Linked DNA regions of Rattus norvegicus. The protein of the gene in region 1 binds, or shares a complex with, the protein of each later gene. Links are inferred from orthologs where the notes say so. Each region holds a gene or a part of one and is shown in the gene's direction. Other genes may lie near its edges.

Evidence for each region. The genes of interacting proteins can lie anywhere in the genome.
Region 2: Supv3l1 (region 1) and Pnpt1 share a complex: the UniProt entries of both Homo sapiens proteins name them as parts of the mitochondrial degradosome (mtEXO) complex. The link is inferred for Rattus norvegicus from reciprocal best matches to the Homo sapiens genes SUPV3L1 and PNPT1.

The regions. Positions count from the first base shown.
Region 1 is NC_086038.1:30,928,164-30,931,762, reverse strand, and holds part of Supv3l1 (ATP-dependent RNA helicase SUPV3L1, mitochondrial precursor), read left to right. Parts: intron 1-94; coding exon 95-172; intron 173-1,708; coding exon 1,709-1,800; intron 1,801-3,228; coding exon of another isoform or gene 3,229-3,264; intron 3,265-3,571; coding exon 3,572-3,599. UniProt on the Homo sapiens protein: Major helicase player in mitochondrial RNA metabolism. Component of the mitochondrial degradosome (mtEXO) complex, that degrades 3' overhang double-stranded RNA with a 3'-to-5' directionality in an ATP-dependent manner.
Region 2 is NC_086032.1:107,077,015-107,081,382, forward strand, and holds the start of Pnpt1 (polyribonucleotide nucleotidyltransferase 1, mitochondrial), read left to right. Parts: upstream 1-1,471; 5' UTR 1,472-1,481; coding exon 1,482-1,642; intron 1,643-3,525; coding exon 3,526-3,586; intron 3,587-4,294; coding exon 4,295-4,368. UniProt on the Homo sapiens protein: RNA-binding protein implicated in numerous RNA metabolic processes. Catalyzes the phosphorolysis of single-stranded polyribonucleotides processively in the 3'-to-5' direction. Mitochondrial intermembrane factor with RNA-processing exoribonulease activity.

The DNA.
Region 1 (3,599 bases):
ACATGCGTAGTAAGCCCTGATAATGGTGCTGGTTATGGGGACTTGGTGTTGGGGTTTAAGTGACTTCATGGCTCATGGACACTCTTGTTCTAAGATGAAGTGGCTGTGATCGATGAAATCCAGATGATTCGGGACCCAGCCAGAGGATGGGCTTGGACCAGAGCTCTGCTAGGTGAGTGGTCTGCTGCTGCCTCTCTTCTCCAGAAGAGTTCACTTAAAAGTGTTACTTTAACAACAAAGAGTTCTGCTTTTGTGTGTTAGAAAGTTAACATAACCAAATGACCAAAGCAGAAATGTTTGAATCTCTGAGGGTGCAACCCAGTGGGAGAGCACTCTCCTAGCATGGGGGAACCCTGGGCTTAATCCTTAGCACAAAAATAAATAAATAGAGGAAGGAAGGAAGGAAGGAAGGAAGGAAGGGAGGAAGGAAGGAAGGAAGGAAGGAAGGGAGGGAGGGAGGGAGGGAGGAAGGAAGGAAGGAAGGAAGGGAGGGAGGGAGGGAGGGAAGTAATTTTGGGGCTGGGGATGTAGCTCATTTGTAGAGAACTTTCCAGCAGTCCATGCCTGAAGCTCTGGGTCTGATTCCCAGGATCATGTAAACAGGGTCTGTGGAGATGGATATTCTAAATGTTGTCCCATACTTGGGAGGAGGGAGCAGGGCCATCAGGACTTGGGAGGATTATCGTGGACTCACAGCTACTTCAGAGCCAACCCAGGCTACCTTCAGATTCAAAAGGAAAATGAAAGAGGGTGTGTCTAGCTGTAGTCACAGTCACTGCTGATGTCTGATGTGGGTCGTGTCAGCGTTTTTACACACACGGTGTCTAGGGACTTAGAACTTTGTGTTTTGCTTCTTTCCAGCTCTGTTTCACAGCTATTTTTTCATTCTGTGAGCGGATCCTTGTGGGTTTTGTCCACTGAAAAGCCCTACAGCAGTTTGTTTCCTGGGCTGAAACAGTCTCCCCATTACCAGCAGTGCTGCGGTAGAATTGTTGATGGATACAGCTTTTCTCTTGTGGGTTATTTTTAGTTGTTTTGTAAGATGGGGGTCCTAGAACAGGAGTTGTTGGGGCTCACAGGCATGAATGAGTGTGTGTCGCCTGTTTCTTGAAGTGATCCTGTTTCTTCTTTTCTTCTCCCTGACTCCTTCTTTCTTGCTCCCCGACTGCCCCCCCAAACAGGGATTCACTATGTAACCCAGGCTGGCTTTGACCTCTGGGTCCCCCTGCCCCAGCCTCTGAAGCGTTAGGGTTAGAGGCTAGTCCCACCACCCCTGACTTGGAATGATGATGGCTTCGGCACGATGTAGTAGGGCAGGTATTTTCAGACCAAAAACAAATGGCGGAGCCCAGAGTTTGCCTGTCAGACAGTATGTGAAAGTGGACCTGCTCGGGCCAAGGAGCTCGGAGCCTCTGTGCTGGCTCCATGCTACACCTGAAGCGCCTCAGCTTCTGTAGAGTTCCGGTTTGAAGAACACAGGCCCGTGACTAACACCCATCAGTCAGCATCTTAGTGCCGGCATCCAGTCCTGCTTGGCCTCACCTTACAGCGGTGTCAGCTGTGTTCAGAGCAAGTTAAGGCCTGTGCATTGGTAAGGCTGGGCTCTCTCTGCTGTTCAAAGAAGGCCGGAGTCAGAACCTGCAAACACTGGACAGGTACAGGGCTGAGGAAGGGGACGAGCAGTGTAAACCCCTCTATGCACCCACAGGACTCTGTGCTGAGGAAGTCCACCTGTGCGGAGAATCTGCTGCCATTGACCTGGTCACTGAGCTCCTGTACACCACTGGGGAGGAGGTGGAGGTAAGAGACGTCCCTTCCTTCTCTGGGCTGTGCCACAGGGCCGATGATCATGCCTGTGTGCCGCCTTGTCAGCTCCAGCCTGTCACAGTCAGAGCTGAGCTGTGGAGGGAGCACACATGAACAAAGCAGTGTGTGTGGGGGCGGCATAAGGAGCCTGCTTGCGGGCCGTCTGAAAGAGCAGTTTTAGTTTTTAAGACATTAAAAACAGAGCTTAGCAAAAAGGAAGTCTTTTTTTCCTCATAGCTGACTGGCTCATATACATATAGTTGAGCTTCATGTGGGAGATAGTTCATTTCCACAAGATTCCTTGTTTGTTTGTTTTGGGAGCTGAGGCTGTTTTTTGTTCTTGAGATGTATTCTCACTGTGTACCCCAGGCTGTCCTCAAATTCACAGCAGTCTCCTGCCATGCCTCCTGAGTGCTGGGATTATGGGAAAGCTGTCAGACTCAGCTTTCAAGCTTCCATTTTCTCAAAAGTCTTAGTCTACTTATTTGTGGTGCTGGGAATCCAACCAAGGACCGTAGGCATCTCTGTCTACACTGAGCGGCACCCACAGCTCATGAGCGAGTGTCCTCAGGACTAAGTCAGACCGCGAGTGTGCATTGTGCTCAGTGTTGCGTATCACACGGTGGGGCCTTTGCTCTTTCTCTCATTGTCAGCCCTAGTTTGCGTCCCTTTTGCAGACAGGAAGTTACAGTTAAGAAACTGGTTTCCTCCAAAAACTATCCTTATTTGCCTTCCCAGAATTCCTCAGTGGGAGAGTAGAATTGTTTTCTCATTGCTGTGACAAGGTAGATGAGGTAGCTGTGGAGGGAAGGAAGGACGGCAGGAAGGAAGGAAGGAACAACAAACAGCCTCCTTACAGTTTCGGGGTTAGAAGCAGATCAGCTAACACTGGTGCTTGGCTAGCTCTGCTTTTTATTGTCTCAGAACCCCAGCCAGGGGGTGGTGTTACCCACATTTAAGGTGGGTCTCTCCTGCTGTTAAACCTTTAGGAAAGATTCTCATATGGCACATCCAGAGTCTCTAAGTCCAGTCTGCCTGACAGTGAAGGTTAGCCTGCTTCTACAGAAATGAAGAAATGTGTTGGGCTGGAGAGATGGCTCAGTGGTTAAGAGCACCGACTGCTCTTCCAGAGGTCCTGAGTTCAAATCCCAGCAGATGGTTGTGAGCCACCATGTGGTTGCTGGGATTTGAACTCAGGACCTCTGGAAGAGCAGTCGGTGCTCTTAACCACTGAGCCATCTCTCCAGTCCCACTTATAAATCTTATAAAAACACTTCAGATGGTTAAGGTGTCTGGAATGACTAATTTAAAAAAGAAATGTCTTAAGTTGACCTGTTGCAGTCTCATGCTTTACTTGGAGGAAGATTGAACAGTGTGCAGTGGGAGAAATTCTGGATTCAAATCTTGGACTTTGCTGCTTAGGGCCCTGTCTGTGGCAAACCACAGAAGCCTGAAGAGGTGAGCCTCTGGCCTCGCTTTCACTGGACTATTTTACTCTGTCATAAAATGAAAATATTAGTAATAATCTTTAGAAGCTGCTACTCTGCCCTGAAAAATCAGTGTTTGTTAAAGTTCTTTAAGGATGTCACACAGTAATATTAACTCAGGGTGCCAAGAATTGACGGTAGCACAGCCTCCATCAATCGAATGAAGGTTTCTAGGTGCCTCCTGACTGTTGCTGCTTCACTGCTCCAGTGGAGTTTTCTCGGAGCAGTCCCTGTGCTGACTTGAGGGTGTCACTCTTCCACATCTGTCTTTACTGCAGGTTCAGAAGTACGAGAGGCTTACCCCCA
Region 2 (4,368 bases), on another chromosome or scaffold:
ATGAAGGAGAATGAAGGAGGAAGCAGATGAAGAGAACAGGAGATCTCCATTCTATGTGATGGACATGTTTGCATGCCTGAATGAACTGTATTTTACCACTCCTCGACTGCTGGAGCAGAAGTAACCAGAAGGAGATTCAAACAGAAAATATTTGGGGAGTGAAGCTAGGAATTAACAGTCTAGCATATAAAAAAAACATAGATTGGGGTAATCCCCCAGTAATTGTGCAAGACCTTATTAAATAATTTATAGGATTCTGACTGGGTTGTTCCAGGGCTACCCGGGACTTATTACTAATGAATAAAGTTTATTAAAATCCATTTACATTCATGAAATTCTCAAAAAATAAAATTTTAAAGTTAAAAAAAAGAATTAGGGCTGGAGGGATGGCTCAGCGGTTAAGAGCACCCGACTACTCTTCCAAAGGTCCTGAGTTCAATTCCCAGCAACCACATGGTGGCTCACAACCATCTGTAAAGAGATCCGATGCCCTCTTCTGGTGTATCTGAAGACAGCTACAGTGTACTTATATATAATAAATGAATAAATCTTTTTAAAAAAAAAGAATTATAGTTCTCTGGGTTTTGTTTTCTTTCTTTTCTTTTCTTTTTTCCCCTCTGATTTCTCATTTGTGCCTCCCCAGTTATCAGACCCAACCAAAATCAAGAAGACCAGGGAGCTGGAGTGTTGTACCTCATAAAGGAGGAAGGGTGGCAAATGCACCGGGGAAATCAGACTTTGAAATACTCAGCACAGAGTTTCCTAGATTGCTTGCATTCAGACTGGCTCTATTTTCGTGTGTGTGTGTGTGTGTGTGTGTGTGTGTGTGTGTGTGTGTGTGTGTGTGTGTGTGTGTGTGTGTGTACACGTGTACGAATGTATGGAGGCCAGAAATTAAAGTAAGGTGTCTTGCTTGATTGCATACCACTTATATATTGAGGTAGGAGCCCTCAGGAAAGTCTAACAAGCCAGGTTGACTCATGAGTTCATTCTCAGCCTCTGAATGCTGGAATTACAGGTGGCTGCTACTAGGGGCATGCCCTTCCATAGGCACAATCCTAGATCTTTAGGTAAGAGCCAAATAATCATGGGTTGTTCAATATTTATTTACTGTTATATATTTATTAAACACGTTGTTCTAAGACTGTCTTTTAAACAGTGATCACACACACACACACACACACACACACACACACACACACATACACGGCCGGAGGGGCGATATTACTTAAAGGGCTTTCTTTAAATCTATAAAATCTATACAATTTAAGGGAGTATTTATTTTTCACTGATAAGAGCAGGAAAAAGCTGACTGAAAAACGCATTCTGGTGGTTTGACCCTCTCGCGTCTACGTAGGAAGCCTGCTAGGATTGCTTTCCCGGCAGTTTTCAGGTTCCACGGAAACGAAACCGCGTCCGGCTCCGCCCACCTGCGGGCTGGCCAATGAGGCACCGCCCGGGCGGTCCGCGCTCTGGGTGTCATGGCGGCTTGCAGGCCGTGCTGCTTGTGCCTGTGTCTCCGACCGCTGAGCTGCGGTCCCCTCGGCCGGCCAAGGCGGCATCGTGCACTCAGCTATTTGCAGGTGCGAGCGCTGTGGAGCGGCACCCGGTCCAGAGCAGTGACTGTGGACTTGGGACACAGGTGAGGAACCGTGTGAGCTCCCGGACTTTTCACGCAGTGTCCTGTTCAGGAAGCCCTGGTAGCCAAAAGTCCCCCGGGTAGGAATCCAGCAGCCTAAGTCTCTTTTAACCTCTCTTCTCCAAACCTAAGGTCGAGATTTCCTTTTCCAGATTTAAAGTCTATCTCCCTGGGCCCTCTCCCTTCCCACGCTAGCCGCTGCCCTTTGCCTCGTATCTTCCTCCTGGCCCTGCAGTGAACTTCCTGAGTCCTATTCTGCCTGTGCCCCTGACGTCCTTTCTCTGTATCTTCCGAGACCTCGAGCTCAGTTGTAAGAAACGTACCACGACCACCTCTAGGTAATGCGCTGTCAGTCCGCGACCCAGCTCCACTGATGGACAGAACCGAGACCAGTGTGAGCCGGAGTTGACCCTGTCTTTTTGTTGAATGCCATTTATAAGATGCACATAGTCCTGTTAAACCTGTAGTGTAGATACAGTTACCGTCCAACAAAAGGTCAAAAACGTAAATTTTTCAGTTATCAAAACAGGGGGTGGGAGATGAATATTTAAATAATTTTTTTAAAAAAATAAAAAGCTTTTCCCTGAAGCTCTACTTTGTGTGGCAGGCAGGCTGCTGCCTGTGTCCTTCCTTGGCATCTCTTTACTCTTACCATCACTGTTCTGCTTGCTCATTGTATCAGTCTTCTTATTTATGTTCATGGAGTATTTAGTTAGGTAGGCATTCACTCACATGGTTTGGCATATGGGAACTTCAAAACTCTTCCACTTATTTCCAAGTGCCCACTCCAAACCAGAGGCTACTATGCAGAATGGGTCATCTATGTATTTGGAGATATTTTATACATATAATGTTGAAAAGTAAATTGTTATAAGGCAAAGTGAACAGCAAAAAGAAAACTCATAAATATAATAGCTTCCTTGGAATAATCAAAATTACATGCTCCCCCCCCCACCCCAGACAAATCTGTCTGCCTTTTTGCATGCATTATCAGAATTCATTGGATAACAATAGATTCACACACTAACAATGTAATTTGCCAGGTAGTTCCATCACTAGTGGTGTTGCTAGATGTCTTTCTATGGGGTCCGGGTGAGGGTGTCATTCTCATTGCTTGGCTGTGTTTGAGGAGTTCTTCTACCCTTTTCATATATCCACGTGTTCACATTATGTTCCCAATATATTTGATAAGTTTAGAGGTCATACCTTTTTACTTTTAGAATTTAGGTATTTATATATCCGTGCCTTGTGGGTGGTTCTAGACAGGAGCTGGTGTACACTTGCAGAACACACATCTTGCCTCTGTATTTGGCCTTTACATGTCATAGCTAAAAAGACATTGTCTAGTCTGAGTTTATGAAGATTTACTTCTCTTTCCCCCCCCCCCCAAGAGTTTTATTTTATTTTATTGCTCTAAAAGGAATAGTATCTATTTTGAGTTTTTTTGTGTGGAGTATGTGACCATCTCAACATCTTTGACTGAAAAAGACTGGTTTTTCCACCATTAAATTGTCATGACAGCACTGTTGAGCATGAAAGTCTTTATTGTTGTTATTAAGTTTTTAAGCTTCAAAATGTTATTCATCAGAAGATGGTCTTTATTAATTTTAACAATTGTTTTAACAGGGAAGAAGAGAAGAGTTTGTGTATTAGGTTTATACAGATGCATTACCTTGGTTCCAATCATCTTTAAGCTCTTAAATATCTATGCTTTTGATGATCACAACTCCAACTTACTTTTTTTTCCTGATTATTGGGACCCTTTCATTCTGGTGTTTTGTTGTTCTTTTGTTTTGTTTTGTTTTCCCCTAGATTCTCCAGTTACTTTTACTAAGCAAAGCCTTGTACTGGTGTCATTTTATATTTTAAAAATTCTTTTTAAACAGAAAATTAGAAATATCCTCTGGAAAACTGGCAAGATTTGCTGATGGCTGTGCTGTGGTACAGGTAGGAAACCAGTCTTTGCTTTATTCATGGTGACTGGGTATCTTTGTAGCATCATAAGTCATCATTGTGGTACTGGGCGCTAGTTCAGACACTACTAAGAATATTTCTAGTGTCAGAACCATGCTAGGCCATCAAAGTCAGTGTTGTGTATATTAAATGACACTTAAATTCTCTTCCAAATTCTGTGGGCTATATTGTAGTCTGTTAAAATCCATTATGCTTTTTCTAGAAAAAGTGTTCTCACTATTATTTTAATTCTTAAAAATTTTTCTTTATAGTCTAAATTTCTTCTTAAAGAGTGAAAAATATGATTCAGTTTGTTGATGTGACTAAGCTGTTAGCCATTTCTTCATGTGAAAACATCAGTGAATATTCTAATACTGACCTTGGTCAGATAGAAAGGATCAAGACTGGACTAGTTGTGGTCACATGAAATGAGAGATCTTTCGTTGAGCCTGGCTTAGTAGTATAAGCATTTAAACCCAGTGCCCTGGACCTCTGTGGGTAGAAGTAGATATCTGTGAGTTTGAGGTCAGCATAGTGAATTTCAGGCCAACCAGGGCTACATAATGAGACATTATTGAGAGACAGACAGAGAAATATCTTCCATTGAGTTTATTTGGTGTGGGGATTCATTCAATTACTGTTTATACTTTAATGTCTGATTTCAAAGAAATTTACTGGTATTTTTGTATATGTTCAATCAAGTCAGGTGATACTGCAGTAATGGTCACAGCGGTCAGCAAAACAAAACCTTCACCTTCCCAATTCATGCCATTGGT